3 linked regions of the Stegostoma tigrinum genome follow. The protein of the gene in region 1 interacts with the protein of each later gene in a pairwise test. Links are inferred from orthologs where the notes say so. Each region holds a gene or a part of one and is shown in the gene's direction. Other genes may lie near its edges.

Region 1 (7,009 bases):
GTCACATTCAGACCCTTCAACTAAATCATTAGTATAGATTGTAAGTAGCAATGGTGGCAACCCATGAGTAGAGGCCAGCCAAACTGAAAATGAAACATTATTGTAAGTTCAATATCTGTTTCCTGCATATCAACCAATTATCCAGCCATGTAAGTACATTACCCAAACCTCATGAGCCTTTAAATTATAAAAATATCATTCAAATAATTTTTGAAATCCACCTACTTGCTGCAGCCCCAAATAATTCTCAGAAATTTGACTAATGCAATTTCTTTCTCATAAACCCTGATTACTTTGTCAAACAAATATTCTCCTGTGTCCACATAGTCACGTCCAGTAAACTGAGAGGCTGTATACCTCTTGACATCTTCTTTTTAATCATCCAGTTATTATCCTTAGCACTCAATATAATCTTAAGTCCTATTTCAGGCTCTTATCTCAGAGAGTCTTTTTCCACCTGACCTGAGCATTTCTGACCTCTTTCCCATTTCACTTGTACTGTTGTTGAAACCTTCATCCATGATTCTCATTTCAACAAGTACCAGCCTCCCATCTCAATAAACTAAGTTTTCAGCCCAAATTCTCTCCTAAGTATGATTCTACATAGCTCTAAGCCATTACTTCATTAGCTCTTTTCAATAAGTTTTCAATTCAGTCAAATCTATCTGAGAAGTCATCTCCAACCCTACATCTCTATCCATCAGCTCTATTTTTCTGATTCCAGATTACAGTCCTATTTATTCTTTCCTACCTCTGTTTTAGCGACTTAAACCAAGTCTTGAATTCATTTCCAAAAACACTTTCCCTTGCCAACTCTCAGAATCCATTGCCCAGTATGTATCTCCCTCTCCCTGTAAAGTGCTCAAACTTATGTTTATATATGATGTGGAGGTGCTGATGTTGGACTGGGGTGGACAAAATCAGAAGTCACACTACACCAGGTTATAGTCCAACAGGCTTATTTGAAAACACAGGCTTTCAGAGCTTCAGTCCTTCCTCAGGTGTTAACGGGAGAGATAGTATCATACCATTGATGAATCCACGCACCCGTTCCCCACCGTCTCATATACACACGTGAATCTATGGGGTGAATTTATATTTGTAGATACATCTTATTTTGTTCAAAAAGCACACAATTTATTGCCAGTCAGTCAATATGGTGTTTTATTACTTCCTACTTTAGACATAAAACCAGTCTGGCTCCAAACTAAAACACAAACAGATTCTGAACAAGGCCTCACACCTAACATGCATTGTCTGACCTAAAATGTCATCTCTTGTTTACACTGATAAAACCTTCACTTTTCTCAGGACCATGACTTGAAAGGAATTTGGGGGTCTACATATGTGGATTAATCAATTAAAATTTTTTAACTAATTGAAGATTTAACAGCATCTTAGGTTTGTTTAGTACATCAATGGTGTGAACCTTTGATCTTTTATTTATAAATTCTGTGTCTGATACTACCTCCCTCACTAATGCCTGAAGAAGGACTGTGGCTCTGAAAGACATAACAAGGTGTAGAGCTGGATGAACACAGCAGGCCAGGCAGCGTCTCAGGAGCACGAAAGCTGATGCTAGACCCTTCTTCAGAAGACCCTTCCTGTGGCTCTGAAAGGTGGTGTGTTCAAATAAACCTGTTGGACTATAATCTGGAGTTGTGCGATTTCTGACTATGTTTATATAGAACATGCTGAAGGAGGTTACATGATCGATCTGATTATTGTTTTAACTCCACTTTCCTGCCTGCCACTCAGAACTTGTGGCTCTTTTGTTGAAGAAAAGTCTAACTGAGTCCTGAATATATTCAATGATTCAACCTCAACTGCTCTCTGTGGAACAGAATTTGGAAGAATAATGGCACTCAAAGGAAAGATTCCTCTTCATTTTAGTCTTTCATGGAGTCTTAATAATATTATGCCCCAAAGTTCCATAATTCCCAATGAGGGTAACATTCTCTCAGCGTTTTTAAAGCTGCATTAAAAATTTATATGTTTCAATAAGATCACCTCTCATTTCTCTAAATGCTAAAGAGCACAGGCTCAACCTGCTGAGCCTTTCCAAATAAGAAAACCTCAATATCTTAAGAATTAGCCTAGTGAATATTCTCTGAATTGTTACCGATGCATGGATATCCCTTCCTAAGTCAGGAGTTTGAAATTGTACATAATTTTTAGATATGGTCTCACTAATGTATGGTAAAGTTGTAATATGACTTCCTTACTTTTATACTGCAATTCCCACATTAAAAAGCCAACATTAAATTTGTCTTCCTAATTATTGCTTTGCCTACATTCTAATTTTTTGATTCTAGACAGCAAATGCATGATCAATAAGTAGGATAGTGAGATAGGACATGAGCAGCAATGTTTTGGTCAAGACAGCATTTATAGAAGCTGAAGGGTAGCTCCATTCAGAAATGATGTAGAGATGTCCGTGTTGGACTGGGGTGGACATAGGCAGAAGTCACACAACACTTTTGGAGCTTGTGATTTTAAATAAACCTGTTGGACTATGACCTGGTGACATATGACTTCTGACTTTGTCTATTTAGGAAAACATTGAATGTAGAGATGACCTGCACATTTGCAGTGTTTGGCAGCAGATTTTGACAGTTTGTTGCTCTGAAAACAGAATTGGATGATATTTGATTGATGGCATTTGACAGAATCTTACAATTTCCTCAAGAGGAAAGATTTGATTAAATGAACCAATCTCCCTTTGCACAATACTCACAATTCTCACTCACTAAACCTGTTAGAGGACAGACACATTCCTGTCCATTCAGAACAGCACTGCTAATGTACCTACAACATGTGGACTGCAGTGGCTTGGGAAGGCAGCTCATCTCCACCTTCTTAAGGCTAAGTAAGCATGGTAATAAATGCTGGCATGGCCAATGACACTCACTCCCTGTAAAATGGTTTTTAAAATATGACAAATTATAATTTTGCCATTATAATGTGGTGAGACCACACCTGGAATACTGCGCACAATTTTGGACTCCGTATCTGAGGAAGATCATTGTGGCTATGGATGGAGTGCACCAAAAGTTTACCTGGCCAATACCTGGGACAGCAAAACCAATGTATGAAGAGAGACAGGATTGGTCAGGACTATGTCCACTGAAGATTAAAAGAAGAGGACTTCATAGAACTGTATAAAATTCTAAATGATTAGATATGGCACGTGCAGGATGTAAAATAACCAAAAGAACTGTGGATGCTGGAAATCAGAAACAAAACAGAAATTGCTGGAAAACTCAGCAGATTTGGCAGCATCTGTGGAGAGAAGAAAAACCAAAAGAACTGTGGATACTGTAAATCAGGAACAAAAACAGAAGTTTCTGCAAGCTCAGCAGGTCTGGCGGCATCTGTGGAGAATAAATCGGAGTTAACGTTTTGGGTCCAGTGACCCTTCTACCGAACTCAGGAAGTTCAAAGCAAGGGTCACCGGGCCCAAAATATTAAGTCTGTGGAGAGAAATCAGAAATAACATTTTGGGTCCGGTGAGCCTTCTTCATTAAAGCAGGATATTCTTGATGATCTGGGAGTCCAGGACCAGAGGTCACAGTCAAAGGGTAGAGGTTAGACCCTTTCGGATTGAGGTGAGATAGTGAGGCTGTGGAATTCTCGCTACAAAAAGCAATTCAGACCAAAATATTGGATGTTTTCCAAGATGGAGTGAGATACAGTTCTTATGGCTAAAGAGATCAAAGGTATTTCAAAAAAGGGACAAGGTCCTGAGTTGGAATTATCAGCCAGATTGGTGGAACAAGTCCAAGAGGTGAATGGCCTACTTTTTTTTTCCTGTAAACTATATTAACAGAAGGAGAAATGTATCTTTTTATGGAATTCAAATCCTTCAGATGGGCAGACTTCCTGAAAAATGTTAAAATGCTGAATGCAGGGAGGGAAATGCCAACCTTCATGTGTGAGTGCGCATGCTCGCTGCGCTTTGCCACGTCCAGACGGCAGGCCCGGGAGGAGAGAGGGGAGGGACTTGGCGTTTGTAGGAAACGGAGAGAAGGACAGGCACTGAGCTCGCTTCAAAAAAAAACCCCGCAAACTCCCAGCCACAGGTTTGTATTTTTCTCTCTCTCTCTCTCATACACACAAACACATTCCTTCAGTACTGATTGAGCAGTGAACGGAGAGGCCGGTCCAAGTGAGGAGCGGGCCCCAGGCCTACTCCCGGCCCGGCTCCCATCAACCAGCCGGCTGGCCCCTGGTGTCATCCGTTCGCACTCGGAGCCGCTCATTCCTTCATTCCGTACAGATCCAGGGTTGAGGGGTTGGCGGGGAACGGGGTGATTTCCTGCCGTGGGAGAGACGTGAGACCCGGCAGGAAGTAAATCTGAGATAACAAAAGTGTGAAGCTGGATGAACACAGCAGGCCAAGCAGCATCATTTTTTTTTGGTGGCGGGGAGGTCGGTGGGGGTGGTGGGAATATAGGGAGAGGGTAGTTTGGTAGCGGAGACGGGGAGTTTGGGTGTGTAGGAAGTAAATCTGTCCCGGTTCAGAACACAGGTCTTCTGAGAGTTTGGTGGGGAAGGAGGGACATTTGTGGGGGGGTGGGGTGTGGGGTTAGTTGGGTGGGGGGGGGTGGAGATATTTGGGGGGTAGGACGGCGGGGGAGGGGTGTACGTTTTGGGGGGGTAGGTCGGAGGAGTACATTTTGGGGGTTTGGTCAGTGGGTGAGGGGGTATTTGAGGGGTTGATCAGTGGGGGAGGGGTATATTTAGGAGAATAGGTCGGTGGGGGATGCAGGGAAGTTAGGGGAGGGTTGGTCGGAGGGGGAGGTGGGGAATATGGGGAAGGGTATGTTGGTAGGCGAGGTGGGGAATTTGGGGTGTAGGTTGGTGGGGGGTTGGGGACGTCGGTTTTTGGGGGTAGGTTGACAGAGGTGGGGGTTGGGGAGGGATCTGGGGGTTGGGGAAGGGGGGAGGTGGGGAAATTGGAAGGTCAGTCAGCAGGGGGAGGAATTTGGCAGGGTTATTGGATGAATGTGGGTTCTGAGACAGATTGGAGGATGTGGCAAAAGGGTCTGTGTAAACTTTGGACCAGTGTTTGGTGGAAGGGGTTGTCCTGAGTTTGGCTGGGGGCAGAAACCGTTTTGAGCAGTTTGTTGTGATTTATGTTGGAAGGATTTCTGGGATGAGTTAGGTATAAAAGTGATACATAATGGTTGGTTCGAAGTGTATGGAAAACAGGGAACTGGCTGCTGAAGAGTAGAGTTTCAGTATGTAAAAAAAGTTGAATCAATCAGCATGTCTGTAATTGAGGAAAAGAACATTTATTTTCAATGAAGGAAATGATGTTTCTGCAGTGACAGCAACTGTCTATCTGATGAGATGATTTTCTGTCAGCAAGCTTTTTAAACTATTGATTTAAAATGCTTGTGCAAGTGTTAGAATATTTTATATGTAGATTGTCATAAAATTGCATTTCACTTGTTTGGTTATACTGCTTCTCGAAGAGATGGGTCCAATCAAACACAAACTTAAGATACTAACAATTTTGGACGTTTGTTAAAGGTTTGATAATGGACAACAGGATGAATTGAAGGAGCATGAGGAGTCAGTTGCAGTTTGAATTTGGATCAGTTATCCTATGTTACCTGCCTGAAGTGCCCTTGGGTTGATGTGATACCGATTCCTTGAGTCAAATGTTCCTTGTCGTTTGCTATTGAGCAGAATACTAAATATTCCAGAATTATCAATTCTAACTTGCACTTTGACGGGAAAGCTGCAAATGACTCGTAGTTGCAGTAGTATGGTACTAATTGCATATGTGAGTGTACTGTACCTACAGATTAATTTTCTTCGTGAATAGGTGTATGGATATCATGGTAAATAAGAGGTGAGAACATGTTCCTGGAAACTTGGAATTTAATACTGGAGCATTTCTCAGCATTTTGGGGCATATTTTTCATATTTTATTGTAAAATATCATCTATTGTTAATTTATACATGCTGTTTTATTACTTATGTGTTTAATCATAATCCATTTGTACCTCGAATTCTTGACAGTGATGTTGTTAGATAACCCCAATCTATGTTAATACTTATTAATACTTAATATCTTGCTAAGCTTGTAGGCAAAAGAATGGGACATGAATATACAAAACTTTTCTTCGCAAGTATAATCCAGGCCTAGACACTGAAATCGTTAAAAAGAAGTAACTACCTCAGAGGCTAGCAGCTCATCATACATTTACTGATTTTTGTTGCATTGACTTTGAGTTACGTTTGGAATTGTGATGTTGGAGTTCAGATCTGATTTTTGAGTACACATGAACATTGTGTATAATCATAATAGAGACCAGATACAGATGATAAATGAATATTCTTGTATGTATGACATATATGTTGTCAAGAATTGACCATGTCACGTTTAATCTGTACCTTTCCCTACAAAAATGAAATGAATATATGCAGTATATATCCAAAATTCTTCCATCCAAAAATATTTCATTGGTCATACTCAAGCTTTTAGGCACAGTGGGGTCCATTTGATTTGTTAAATCCCTGTTTATATTACTTTTGCATTTATGTCAAGTAAATGATACGGATGGTGATTTTGGATTTAATCCTCAGTGAGGCAACGCGACTCATAGGAACATTGGGCCGTAGGAATTGGGAGTAGGAATGGGCAGTTCAGTCCTTTGAGCCCTCTTGGCATTGACATGAGCATATCAAATCTTATGCTGGTCTCAACTCCACTTCTCTGCCTGTAACCCGTAGCCCTTTATCTCGCTTTTCATCAGAAACACCTATTTCTCTTTTGAATCAGTTGATTTGATTCTACCTCTGTCTCTGTGGCAGTGAGTTCCACAGACTCTCAACTCTCTGAGAAAAGTAGTTTCTCTTCATCTCAGTTTTGAACTTAGCTACTCTCACTACATCTATGCCTACTTATTTGAGACTGTCCCACAAGGGGGGGGACATCTATTCGATGACCACCTTATCAATCCCTTTTGGCATTTTATATACCTCAGTCAGATCC
Region 2 (7,126 bases), on another chromosome or scaffold:
ATGGCAACATGGAGATCTCAACTCAACATGTTAGTTAAATAGTGCCGTAAGCAAATTGCATTCAGGAGAATGGAAGCTTCTATGTGGCTATAATATCATGTATAGTGTTACAATTAAAAAATCAAAATTAGGATGGGTGTGAAGCAAGTAGCACAGATGAGTTTAAAAGAGGATTTCAAAGACTCACTGTGCACTCTGAAAAATGTAAACAGACAACTGATGATAGGAAAAGTTTACAGGTAAATGATTAAACTAACAGAGGTTCTTTATTGACTTTTGGTAGGGCCTCATTTCTATTTGTCAGATAATATTTGAGAAGCAGCCCATAAATCAAACAATGATTGTTCTTTCAATTAAGAAGAGGCAGAGTAGGAATCAGGATCCGTGCGAATCATAGAAAATGGACTTATTTTTAGATGCAGTTGTAAGAGCTTAATGTATATCACTTGGATTTGTTGAACCTTGGAACTATTTATAGACAATATTTTTAGAATGAGTGCTGGAAACTGTTAAAGTTTATGTGCCTTTCAGTGGTACCACAAGTCAACCTTATACAAAGACTCTCATTCACAAGACCCATGAACACATCTTTCTTTGGTTGTGTCTACACTTCAGACATCAGACTGGGAAACTTGGCGATGTCTCGCTCCTAATTGAAATTATGAACCTATGCAGAGAGCATCTTGCTTAAAAATAAATTGAGCTCTGTTGTTAAGCCATACGGATTAGGAGAAAGCTATACTCTCAACATATTTCAAAGTCTAGGTCAGTTTGAAAATACCCAGAAGATCCACAGCAATATTTAAATACATTTGTAACCCAGGTTGATGCCACAAATGAGTGACAACGTGGTTCTCTCCCTCAGAGGTTTCACACCGCTCCATTCTGAAGTCAAATCTAGATCCAGTTCTGGAGTTATGCAGTCAATTTTGCATTGTAACAGTTAGGACAGTATCACAGTAACATTATATCTCCACCCTTTGTGTATCATATTGTCTTGTTGCTCCCACAGCAGAACAAATAATATGAACAACAAAAGACTTCTTCATGGAGAGATAAGATTCTTTAAAGAAGTGACATTACTTTCATTGTAACCAAACCACACACAGGAATTCTTTAAAGTTCTCTTAAGCAACCAGAACTCATTTGATGCAATTCCTAAAATAAATTATTTTATTCACAATGAGATCACATTTTTCAGGAACACAATAGCAAGGTTGCTTTTATATTATTCAATTTCTTGTAAAATTTACTCCTGTTCAGCCATTGATTGGATAAATATGTAGCGATTGTCCAGGAAGCAGCTTGGGTGGAAAAACAGAGTTAATATTTTAGGTTTGTGACATTTCTTCAGAGCTGGAAAATATAACAGGATTTAAGCAAATAGAAAGTCATAGAAAGGAGAGAGAGGACGATACAAAAGTGACGGTTTATAACAGGGTGACAGGTGTTATAAAAATAATAATTCTGAAACAGTTAATGTTGACATTGTATTCATCTCTACCCAATCTGATAGTGTCTTCACTGGAGAATCTGGCATTCTCGTTTGAGATCTTGATAGGGTTAGAAGACAAAGCTGGCTCTTGATAGACACAAGCAAATATGCCTGATCAGTCAATGTGGCTTGTATCTATTTCTGTTATGTAGGATAAGTGTCCCTGCATGTTAGAACTCACCAGGGGTCTATCTTCTGCTCTCTTCTGACTCATTGCTGCAACTGTCCAGCGATCATTTCCAGATGATAGATGTTTATGCATTTCCCAGATTAGATCATAACAGTTGGCTTCCTTTGAACAAAGGCTTTTTAATGTATGAAGTGCAAATTAGTAGAAACATGTTTATTCTCCATCCCTAGTTCAATTGAGATAATGGAAGTGAATTTCTGTTATGAACTGCTGAAGTCCTAATATTGTCAGTATTAAAATACTGTTAGGCAGGTAATTTTTGATCCAGGGATGAGGAAGTAGAGGCACATTTACAATTCATAGTTTGTGCCATTTAAACATAATAATGTTCCCATGATTTTGCTGCTGTTTTTCTCCATCTTGGTGATGACAACAAGGCTGGGCAATATTGTCAAAGCAAGCTTGGCAATTTGCAGTCTATTCTGTAGGTGGTGTGTACAGTTTACTCCTGTAACAACAGTGTGCCTCTGATGAGGTCTAGTGTGTTAAGGGGGACATATGAAGATACACTTCATTGGATTTTTTGTGAGAAAGAGCGAGAAATGTTTATTTGCCCTCTGAGACAAACACTAGTTTGATTATTTGTTCATCATGTTTGCTTGGTTTAAAGGGTCCCTGATATTGAATTTAATTGCCTAGACCTGACAGGAAGGACACTTATTTGCTTCCTGCTTTCTGTATTTGTTATATTTTGAATCAATGTACTAGCATTTAATGAGTCATGCATATAGGGACCTAAGCCCCTCCGTCCCCTTCATAATTTCTAGCCTCTTGCCATTCAGATAGTATTACAAGATCTTCGATCCTTTATAGCTGGTTACTGGGTTTTGCCAATGCACTCTAGGCCCAAAACGTCAGCCTTCTTGCTCCTCTGATGCTACTTTGCCTGCTGTGTTCATCCAGCTCTACACCTTGTTATCTCACTAAAATGATATGTCTTTTGTTACTTGTATATACTGCATTCTTGAAAGTGCTGCCTCTCAAATGGGGGCCAGACCCCTTTCACACTTTGTTCGAGTGAGGTATCAAAGATCCTGTGTCACTATTCCCAAGAACAGTAGCCCTGGCTGATATCGAGCTCTCAATCAACAACACCGCTTTCTGCTCATTATCACATTGCTGCCTTCTGTAAGACGTTGTTGTGCACGTTTACAAAGAGACAGCACCCCTGTTACAAAGGAATGTAAAAACAGTAATTATTAGAGAAACTCAGCAAGTCTGGCAGCATCTGCGGAAAGAGAAACAGAAGCAGAAGTGAAAAATGATCACTGGACTCGAAATGTTATCTGTCGCTCTGTTCATAGATGCTGCCAGACCTGTTGAGTTTCTCCAGCAGTTTCTAATTTTTAAAATTTGATTTTGACTGGCTTTGAATTATTATTGTCACATGTACCTAGGTACAGTGAAACGTTTGGTTTAGTGTGCAGTATGGGCAGATCATACCACACAAAGTGGAGAAGGGGCTCTAGGCCCGAAACGTTAGCTTTTGTGCTCCTGAGATGCTGCTGGGTCTGCTGTGTTCATCCAGCTTCACACTTTATTATCGAGGAATATAATGTTACAGCACAAAGAGCAAGATCAGCATCAAATTTGAAATTTGGGAGGTCCATTCAGAAGTCTAATAACAACAGGGAAGAAGCTGTTCTTAAACCTGTTGGGAGATGTGTTTATGCTTTTGTATCTTTTGCCAGAGGGAAGAGGTTGAAAGAGATTATAACGTGGGTGGGAGGGGTTTCTGTTGGCTGCCCTTCTGAGGCAGGGAGAAGTATAGATGAAGTCAATGGATGGAAGGCTGGATTAGACTGGAGTTTGTAACGTCCTGGTCAGAGCAGTCGCTGAAACACGCTGTGATGCATCTGTTTTTGTTTAAGGTCCCCAGCTTGTTTGTTTTGTTTCAGTGTTATACAAAGGGGCATAGTTTGAGTGAAATGCTACCGCAATTTTTCTACTCTAGAACACCAATTTGATAAAGAGCTTCATTGACTGTTAAGTGCTTTGGGACGTCCTCTGACTGCGCAGGTCCTTATCTCCTATTTTCTAGCAATTGTACGAATAATTTCTCTTCCGCAGCAGGATGAGATGTGAGGTTTCATCTGTAATGTAGCAACTTTTGTACGGAAGCTTGTTACAATTTTTTTTTAACAGAGGCGCGCTCAAGAGAACACGACTGACACTATGGACTGAGAATTTCCCCCCCAAATAATTACATAGCCCCTCTGAGATGACTCAGTCTTTCAAAATAAAGTCCCCGCACTTCCTTCTTCAACTTTACAATGCAGATAATATCAAGGCTACAACTGAACAAATTCCACGTCCTCTTTTTCCACCGTCTAATTTGTTGCTTTAGCTTCTGACGTTGTGATGGGCGGGTGGTATTGAGTAGGAAGGTCAGCTGAATAGATTTACGTCTATTTTAGTATACCGAAAAAAACAGGGCGGACGAGCTAAGAAGAGGAAGAAGTCTGCGGAACTTGCTGTACGGATCAAGCGCCTTGCAGGTAGGTGAAAATACCATCCCGATCAAAATCTGATTTGTTTTCTTTCCCGAAACAATGTATCAGTTCGTCCTCGATGTAATTGCTCTGCTCATTCTCTCTCTCCCCGGCAAAGCACATTCGCTAAACATCGCAGCTCCTGGTTTGAAACGGATTATGGTTGTGCTGGGGTGGGACAGGGGTGTGTTTGGTTGGGGTGCTGGTATGGGGATCGATGCTGGCGTGAATCTATATCCCAGTGATTAAAAGACGCTTGAAACTCACAAGGAGCAAGGAGATGGGCAACTTGCCAGCTCTCCTGTTCCCTTGCAGTTTCTTTTTATGATGACCATCGCCCGTTTGAAGCCTTTCCTTTTTTTAAGTATCTAGTGTGGCGACACTTTCTCTGAAAGCAATGCCTATCACTTAATTTCTGATTTCAGGAAAGCCAATTGATTACATCGTCTAGTGTCGACTGATCGACTTGAGAGTCCTGCAGTTCTCCTGAACAGTAAACCGCAAGCGTGTGTATCTGTGTAAAACTGTTGATTGTTTTCCCCTCATATTCTGGTCCAGTCTTGAGAATGCATTCTACTTGGCACAGAAATGATGAGCGTGTTTTAGAGAAAAAAAATCTATCAACCTATTTAGACGTCTGACAGTTCTGTAGCCATTGAATCTTAAAGTGATAATTGAAGCCTTGTGGTCTAGAAATAGGAGCACTAACAATTTGTTACAAGATGCTCAAGTCTTTTTTAATGACAATATTAGCTAATATTAATAATAATATTAGATAATATCAGAGGGGAATCTTGAACATGATCACATTTACCATCTTCTGGGTATTAAGGAGTGGGTCTGGTCTCCTGTTTTAATTTTTAGCAAAGTTATAGATTTTTTAAAAAAAACTCGCCTCTTTTGACATGTCATGACGCACCTCTGGAGCAGATGGGACTTGAACCTGGATGTTTTTTGGCTAGAAGCAGGAATGCTACCACTCTGCAACAAGAGCTTCAAGCACATGTTATAAGACAATATGAATCTTTTGAAGGGGATGTGACAAATTGCGCAGCTCAAACAGCCTGTGTAAGCATACCCAGCACCTTCAGGGTGTTAAGGTGTAGTTCTGCCCTACTGCTTTCATTTAAACAAGTTATTGAATGGAATTATCAGCTTCACCTCACATTGAATGGGATGAATCATTTATAAAATACTGGATTAGCCTCAATTTCCTTCAGTCCCAGTTAGCCCAGCATTTGTTGTGCGTCCCTAGTTGTCCTTTCAAAGGCTTGTTAAGAGTCATCTATGTTCCTATGGGCCTGGAGTCACATGTAGGCCAGACCCAGGTAAGGACAGTTGAGTTGTTGCCCAAAAGGACATTTTCCAGGGTTGGAGGGTTTGAGCCACAGGGAGACGCTGAACAGGCTGGGGCTATTTTCCCTGGAGCATCAGAGGCTGAGGGTGACCTTATAGAGTTTGTAAAATCATGAAGGGCGTGGATAGCTGAATAGCTAAAGTCTTTTCCCCAGGGTAGCGGAGTCCAAAACTGGAGGGCACAGGTTTCAGGTGAGGGGGCAAAGATTTATAAGGGACAACATTTTCATGCAGAGGGTGGTGCATGTGTGGAATGAGCTGCCAGTGGAAGTGGTGGAGGCTGGCACCATTACAATATTTAAAAGGCATCTAGATAGTTATATGAATAAGAAGAGTTTAGATGGATATGGGCCAACTGTTGGCAAATGGGACTAGATTAATCTGGAATATCTAGTCAGCATGGATGATTTGGACCGTAGGCTCTGTATCTGTGCTGTACATTTCTATGCCTCTACCAAACAATAGTGCTTCCAATTCTGGGCACCATATTTTAAGAAGAATATGAACCTTTTGGCGAGACTGTAGAAAAGATGTATAAGAGGATATTACAGGGATAGATTGGAGAAACTGGACCAGCTTCCTCTTGAGAAGGGAAGATCAAGAGGAGATTTGTTAGAAGTGTTCACAGTCATGATGGTGTCAAGATAATGGCCATTATTGGCAGAAGACTTAACAACCAATGAAAGGCAAAAGAATCAAAGCCAAATTGGGATGGTAAACCTTTTTATTCCACGAGGTTTGTTGTATCTGGATTGTGATCCCTGAAAAGGTGATGGAGACCAATGCAATCAGAGCTTTTGAAGGGGATTGAATAAGCAACGGGACAATAGATGTAGGCAGTTCTGTTTAGTGCCAACAACAGAAATTGTTGGAAAAAGCCAGTAGGTTCTAAAGAATGGTCACTGGATCCGAAACGTTAAACTCTGATTTCTCTCCACGGATGTGACTGCTCCCGTTGAGCTTTTCCGTCAATTTCTGTTTTGGTTTCTGATTTCCAGCATCCACAGTTCTTTAAATTTGTAGTTTTCCTTAGTGCCCTGGCCAATACCTATTCCTCTAGCAATATCACACAAATAGATTACCTGCTGTGCATATTACTGCTGCTTGTGAGAGCTCGCTGTGGACAGGAAACATTTGGATGGTTGAGTATAAGGGCTGGGAGTCAGATGAACCGAACTGTACTTGCAAAGTTCAAACATAACCTTGATGAGTTGAATAGCCTCTTTCAATGCTGTTACCATTCTGTTATTACCTTTGTTTATCCGTGGAATATTGCTGTATTTCAAGGATTACTTATAATTGGAAATAAAATACTTTCGTACTCCTAAGTCTGACCTTTTAAAGGTTAGAAGGTAGATAGTTTTGTTCAAAAGAACTGGTTAGGACCAGTGCAGCTTGTTCTTGCCTCTGCTCAGAGCTGGTATGAACAAGTTCAAAGCCAAGCTGCAAACATTAAGGCAATAAACCAAGAACCAATTGCCAGGTAGACGATTCATGTTGTAGAATATGTTTTGAAAAGCATCGCTTTCAGTGTTGGTCTGAAATGTTAGGCTCTGTTGAAAGAAGCACAGCTGAATGTTAACAGAAACTACG
Region 3 (7,445 bases), on another chromosome or scaffold:
TGCTGGGGAATCATTGTTGAAGAAGAAACTTCCTTGTCGAAGTTGGCATCATCAGAACAGATGCTATGGAGATAGAGGAACTGGGACAATGGAATAGAGTCTTTAAAGGAAGCAGAGTGTGAGGATGCATTGTTAATGTAACTGGGAGTCAGTGGGTTTGTGGTGGATACTGGGGGCCAGCCTATCCCCAGAAATGGAAACAGAGATGTTGAGGAAGAGAAGGGAGGAGTTAGAGATAGACCAGGTGAAGTCTAGAATGGGGTGGAAATTGGAAGTGAACCAATTCTGGACGAGGGTTGTGGCACCAATGATGTCATTGATGTACCAGAGAAAGAGTCGCGGGGAGGGACCCACGTATCTGTTTTAAAGTGGAGGTTGACCGTCTTTGGTAACTAAAACCAAAATACTGGGAGAGGTGCACCTTGCCCTATAATCTGTTAAAACAGATCCAATGTGCTATGAAGGAATGGTTAAATAAAAATAAACCCCTGACACACTGTTTATAATCAACAAGTAACAAGTTATTTATCTAACTCTTAACAGTGAACAAACTGACTAAACTATTTACAAACTGAATACCTCTTGTAACTACTAACTGGAAAACAGGATTATAAAGGAATGTTGTTCCAATAAATACATGTTCCACTTACATAAAACAAGATTTTAAAAAATCAGAATTTAGTCTCTCAAAACTACAACCAGTTATGTCTTCCAGAATGTTCTGAGTCTTTGATGAATTCTTGTGTCAGGAACATTAATTACTTGCACTGTAGGTACTTCTAATTTAGATGGAGCGTACTGTAAGGCTTAGAGAAATGTGTGAGAGCCACTGATTCTCTCTTTTAGAGCTGAGAGCTGTTCTCTTGGCAGATGACAGTTGGCTTCCCCCTGATTTTCCAAATGCCCTCATCTTTTGCACCCTTGATGACCTTTCAAATTCTTACAAAAGGATTGGTCCTATGTTGCCAAAACCATGAGATTTAAATTTAATTAGTTTTTGATATCTAAGAGCATGGTTTAAAATATTTGGCTAAATTTAAAAACCTGTTGTCTTGGTAAAAATGCTGCTGCTCTACCTGCTAACTGCATAGCCTTTTAATATACATGTTTCGATTCAGGTGCTCTGTGCACCTGCAAATGCACGGAGTATCAAAAAGGATGCCTAAGGAGAGAAAAAGAACACCATCTTTTAAAGGGACCATGTACTGCTTTCCCCATAGCATTTTACAGACACCAACATTTTACAAACATCAAATTCTAACTTCCTGTCTTCCAATCTACAATTATTCGACCCAACTTTGCACCATATGACTGAAACAAGGAAAGTTCCATTTACCCCAGAAGGAAACAGATATAACTGGGACTCATGCAGGTACCCTTGGTTCAGGCCTTTTTTCCAGGAAGTAGCGGAGAACCCTGAGACCATCCTGATGTGTGAAGGGAATGCACATCCATGGTAAAGAGGAGGTGGTTGGAGCCTGCAAACTGGAAATTCTGAAACTGATGTAAAGCATCTGAAGAATTGTAGACGTAAGTGTGAAAGGACTGGAAAAGGGGAGAAAAGAAGAAGAAAAGAAATCAAGGCAAGGTAGGAAAATGGTCTTTGTTTTTAAGTCCTAATTTCCTACTTGGGTCTTCCCCCGCTGCAGTTGGGCATGTCTTAGACCACAAGGTATAAGAGAATTAGGCCATTCAGTCCACTGAGGTTGCTCTCTGCCGTTTGGTCATGACTGATACATTTCTTAACCCCATTCTCCTGCCTTCTTCCCATAGTACTTGATCCCTTTACCAACCAAGAACCGAATATCTCTGCCTTGAATACATTCAATGATGGCCACCAGAGCCCTCCGCGGCAATAGGTTCCACAGAGTCACCCCCCTTTTGACTGAAGAAATTCCAGATCTGTCCTAAAAGCAACTTCATTCAAAATTGTGCATACACAAACTGACTTCCATAAGTGCACTCTCGTGCCTTCTCAGTCTTCAAATCTCTTCAGACAGGGAATCCATTCTCTCAGCATTCTGCTACCACATCAGCTTTCCTATAACATTGGAGAATTGTTGGAGAAACTCAGCAGCTTGGGCAGCATCTGTGACGGGAAAACAGCATTGCTGGTTTATTGAACTTATCGAATTGATAATGGTGAGAAAAAGATAGTGTTTAAATTGATGATGGTGGGGCTTGGGTGGTAAAGGACTGAATTGATAGGTGGAGATGGAGCTTGGAGAGAACAAGTGGCACAGATAAAACACTGTTGATAGTAAGCCAGAGCATTAGAGGTTTAGATAATTGATAATGGAGACTATGAGTAATTGAAAGTGGGCTGGCTGTGCTGGAAGCAACCTGTACAATGACCAGGCTCAAGGTGTAGGGGTAGGTAATAGATACGGAAGGAGGTATTCATGATCTAAAATTTTTAAATTTGATATTGAGTCCTGAAGGCTGTATGGAACCTAGGTGGAAGGTGCTTTCAGCTTGCTGGAACACTGCAGCCAGCTTGAGACACAAGTAATGGCATAAGTTAAAAATCACATGACACCAGGTTATAGTCCAATGGGTTTATTCGAAATCTCAAGGTTTTGGAGTGCCACTCTTTTATCAGCAGCAGTGAGATAGGGCACACAGACACGGAGTTTATAGACAGAGAAATCAAAGCATCATACAACTGATGTGAGTGGAGTGAACAAACATAAAATGGCTAATGAAGAACTCTGTTAGAAAGGAGATGCAAGTTTGAACTGATTAAGATGCAAATTTCAGAATGTGTTTCAAGTTGCTGCCCAAAGATAATGAAAGGTTTTATCAATGTCTGCCTAACTTTCCAAACTTCAGTCAGGCAGAAATTCAGAAGGTGACATCTCAGGTCAGACACAGAGTTGTAAGTGTGAGGCCTCGTGCAGAATCTGTCTCCAAGTTTTAACCTGAAATCAGGCTGGTTTTATTCCAAAAACAGGTATTTATAAAATGCTACATTGATGGACTGGAACTGACAAATGGATAAACATCTTGGATGAAATGATTCACCCCATAGATTTGTGTGTGTGTGTGAGAGAGACAGCGAGCGAGAGCAGTGAGAGATAGTAGGAACTGCAGATGCTGGAGAATCTGAGGTAACAAGGTGCAAGGCTGGATGAACACAGTAGGCCAAGCAGCATCAGAGGAGCAGGAAAGCTGATGTTTCGGGCCTAGATCTTTCTTCAGAAATGTGGGAGGGGAAGAGGTTTCTGAAATAAATAGGGAGATAAATATCCCTCCCTAGCTATCCACCTACACTCACCTTTACTGGCTCCATCCTCTCCACCTATCTTCTCCTCTATCCATCTTCAATTTGCCTCCCCCTCCCACTATTTATTTCAAAGCCCCCTTCCCCTCCCTCCTTTCTGGAGAAGGGTCTTGGCCCGAAACGTCAGCCTTCCTGCTCCTCCGATACTGCTTGGCCTGCTGTGTTCATCCAGCTCTACACCTTGTTACCTCATGAATGTATGTGACTTGGCTAATGTCGTCTATCTCATACACTACAGGCATGAATGCCCCAAAGCATGGTATATCGGCAAGACCATGCAGATACTAAAAAAAATGGATGAATGAACAAAGCGCAACAATCGCCGTCCAGGAGTGTTCCCTCCCAGTTGGGGAACACTTCCAACGGTCAAGGGCATTCAAACTCTGGGTACACAACAATGCAGAATCACCGAGCAGTGACTGATAACTAAGTTCTGTACCCATGAAGATGGCCTCACTGTGATCTCGGCTTCATGTCGAGCTACAGGTGACCCCACCTGTATCTGCAAGATCTTCCTTACTACCCTGTTTATGTTTGTTCACTCCACTCACACCAATTGTATTCTCCTTCGACCTCTCTGCGTATAAACTCCGTCTGTTTACCCACTCTCACTGCACCTGAACGAAGAAGCGGCGCATCCAAAGCTTTTGACTTTAAACCTGTTTGACTATGTCCTGGTGTCATGTAATTTTTGACAGTCCCACGCCGGCACCTCCTCATCAAATGCTGGCATAAGAACACAGCGGTGCATTGAAAAGTGACAGGCAACTGGGTGCTGAGGATTATTTTTTAAGGACACGATGGGGAGGTGAAGCTCGCTGGTTGAAAGATTGATGATGATCGATGTCATAGAGATAATCTGGCTGCAAACACTAACACCCACTTCCGGGAACGCTGGTGGAGGACCACGTGACAGGAAGGACCTACCTTCCGTGATGTCACTGAACAACCACGTGATGTTCCCACGCCCCCTGACGTCATGGAGGGCGGGGCTGGTTCCGCATCCTGTGACTGACGTGCTTAGCCACCTATCAGAGGGCACGTCGTTTCGTGCGTTTGGTGGGGGCGTTGCGGCCAACGGACCAATCGGATGAAGGAGACGGCCCGGGGCGTGTGCGTGCTCGGGCGGGTCGTTATTGAGTTGGAGATGGCTACCTACCCTTATGGCTCGGTGAGTGGGGGAGCGGGTTGCGGGTTCGGGCAGTTTGAGCCTCGGGCCTCGGGCCTCGGGCTTGTGGGCGTTTCGGAGAGGCGATGCCATTCTCCGTGGAATTAGGGCTGAAAGTTGAGGGCTGGGAGCAGAGGCGCGTGCCTCGGCCCGGAGCTGAGCTGAGGTGAGGTGATCGAACTGTCCCACTGAGGGGGCCCTGGCCCTGGCCCTGGCCCTGGCCCTGGCCCTGGCCCTGGCCCGTTTGAAGGTGGTGCTGGTGCCCGGGTGGGTGATGAAGGTAGTCTTCTCCCTTCCAGAAAATGCCTGGGGGCTGGAATTTCCCCTTCCACTTCCTTCTCTAGGTTAGGAGGCTGGGTTAATTCAATCTTGGGATTCTTTTTTGTTGTTGATACTTCATCTACAAACTTGGGATAGATTTTCTCCAAATTCATTTCCTTCCCGAATCTGAAGGCTTCTTGTCCTCGGAAATAAGTTTTATTTTGTAAAATGCGGAACAATGATTAGATAAATCTTCTGCTTTAAAAAAGCTTACTCGCTGTGAGTATTATAGCATTAAAACTATACTTAGGAGCTTGTTTAGCTTGTTAATTTAGAAACTAACATTTTTGGGGAAGTTTTATGGTCTTGTATACACTTATAGTATTAATCCTGTTAGTTGAGGATTGTTGTTTCCCAAAAAAATCTGCCAGAACCTATCAACCTTTCCTTTCTAGTTTTGTCAAAGCGGAACTTTTCAGTTTAGCTAACATGAAGAAGGTATTGTTAAGACAATCTGGTTCTTCTACATCAATCAAAGGGCAGTTTATCTTTTCCAACAACTAGAAGAGGTACTTTCCTTGCCATCATGATGGGTATTTGTACCTCCAGACAGGCTTATTTGGATGGGAATTTAGCTACTGCTAGCTGCATACTTCTGCTTGGGGTTGTGAAATATTGTGAAATTGACTTGAAGTAATGTGCCACTTGCAACTAGATCAACATCAAATCAAAAGATGCAAAATTAACCTGAAGATTTTCTGAGAATGAGACGAAGGGAAAGACACAGAGACTATCCTTGCAGTAATGATGGTATTAAAGAAAAAAGATCAGATGACAGGCACATGGAACAATGATGATGACATGAAGTCAGAGACTTATTTGTTTTTTTCATTTCAGCCGTGTATACTCTTGAGTAACATGTTATTTTTGTAGTGTTATTCAAACAGTTTGAAATGTTGAAAGGCTATCCCTTTCAACAAAAACAAAGCATTTATGTGTGGGAGGCAGTTTGAGGTTGCTTAATCTGTTGCAATCCACAGATGTGCTGACAGAAGAATAATCAGAATGCTACGCATAAGTGAATGTTTTGTTTGCATCTTGTTAGTGTGAACCTTTGGCTATTATCGTATTGAATGCTGGAGTAGGGTGAAAGAGCTGCATAGAGTCATACAGCATGAAAACAGACCCTTCGTGACCTGGTCCCACTTGTTAGCATTTGACCCAAATCCATCTAAACCCTTCTTATTCATACAACCAACCAGATACCTTTAAATGTTGTAATTTTACCCACCACCTCCACTTTCCCCAGCACCTTGTTCTATATGTGCACCACTCTCTGTGTGAAAAAGTTACCCCTCAGGTCCTTTTTAAATCTTTCCCCTCCTACCTTAAACTGTGTCCACTAAGTTGGACTTGGTCCATTGTAGGAAAAAGACCTTGGCTATTCACCCTATCCATGCCCCTCGTGATTTTTCATGCTTCTGTTTCTTAAGATGGCAGTTCGATTGATCATAAAGGCTGTGACTGTACTGCTTCTTTGGACCAGGGCATGCTTTCTAGCAATGCATGGTAGCACAGATACGTTTTTTGGAAACAGTTTAGTTTATGGGACATTTGCTAACATCTTGCAAGGTTATGACTTTCCCAGTATGGTTAAGTTTATCCCTACTGTAACAGTTGTAATTTGTATGACTATGGGGCAGGCACAAGCATAAGTGATAGTTGGAACTGCAGATGCTGGAGAATCTGAGATAACAGGATGTAGAGCTGGATGACCACAGCAGGCCAAGCAGCATCAGAGGATCAGGAGGGCTGATGTTTCGGGCTTAGACCCTTCAGAAAATGTTCATTCAGGTCTAGGTCCGAAACATCAGTCTTCCTGCACCACTGATGCTGCTTGGCTTGCTGTGCTCATCCAGCTCTACATCTTGTTATCACAAGCATAAGTGAAACAAGTTATAACCTCTACGGAATATCTTAACTTGGTTCCTAATGCAGCTACTGGCATACTGAGAATTGTTCTGCAAGTGCTGTCCAATCAGATCGAACAGCAAATGATTTGATTTATGCTTTGCATGTATGTGTGGGCTGGTTGAATATGGTCTGTACCGTGCCTATTATAAATAGCCAAAGGAACATTTTGCTGATTAGGATGTATGGTCTATGTAACACCGGCACTGAAATTCATACTGTTATTCAGTTGTCTGGTATTCAGTTCATCATCTTTTTGATATGGTGGAAGATTGCTGTTAGTGGAAAATATCTCACAGTCACTGCAGTATTAAATGGCGAGTTTAACATGTTCAAAGTTTAGAAAATTAACCTGGAAAGGCAAAATATGAGTTATTTTTCGTATTACCAAACTAATCAAAAAATGGAACATGCTGTAGTGACCTGTTCAGAAGAAGTTCCCTTGCTTCCCTCTTTAGTTGTTCATAGGAACTGCCTAGTTTCAACTTAGGTGATCAATATGTCTAGGGACAAGAATACATGAGCTGATTTCCCATTGCCTGTCTCATGTGAGCTTGAAGGAAACAAGCTCTCTTCCCATAGGACCCTCCTTCACGTGAAAGCAACTTGTTGTTCCTCAAGGTTCTAGCTCTTCTGCCATCACTGCCAAAAGTTGTATGATTCTACCAATGGCCATGATTTGTAATGCTAAGCAAGAGACTGTTATCAGAGGCTGGGGTTATTCGTAAAAAGACAAGGACCACCCACTCTCGTCTCGTGGTC

The links.
Region 2: the proteins of tfg (region 1) and annexin A4-like interact in binary tests that used the Homo sapiens proteins (3 or more experiments, as listed by UniProt). The two-hybrid records come from large-scale screens. The link is inferred for Stegostoma tigrinum from reciprocal best matches to the Homo sapiens genes TFG and ANXA11.
Region 3: the proteins of tfg (region 1) and pef1 interact in binary tests that used the Homo sapiens proteins (3 or more experiments, as listed by UniProt). The two-hybrid records come from large-scale screens. The link is inferred for Stegostoma tigrinum from reciprocal best matches to the Homo sapiens genes TFG and PEF1.

What each region holds. Positions count from the first base shown.
Region 1 is NC_081365.1:29,138,223-29,145,231, forward strand, and holds the start of tfg (protein TFG), read left to right. Parts: upstream 1-3,968; 5' UTR 3,969-4,082; intron 4,083-7,009. UniProt on the Homo sapiens protein: Plays a role in the normal dynamic function of the endoplasmic reticulum (ER) and its associated microtubules. Required for secretory cargo traffic from the endoplasmic reticulum to the Golgi apparatus.
Region 2 is NC_081390.1:18,821,648-18,828,773, forward strand, and holds the start of annexin A4-like, read left to right. Parts: upstream 1-4,031; 5' UTR 4,032-4,183; intron 4,184-4,602; exon of another isoform or gene 4,603-4,670; intron 4,671-7,126. UniProt on the Homo sapiens protein: Binds specifically to calcyclin in a calcium-dependent manner. Required for midbody formation and completion of the terminal phase of cytokinesis.
Region 3 is NC_081377.1:33,835,481-33,842,925, forward strand, and holds the start of pef1 (peflin), read left to right. Parts: upstream 1-4,367; 5' UTR 4,368-4,373; coding exon 4,374-4,454; intron 4,455-7,445. UniProt on the Homo sapiens protein: Calcium-binding protein that acts as an adapter that bridges unrelated proteins or stabilizes weak protein-protein complexes in response to calcium.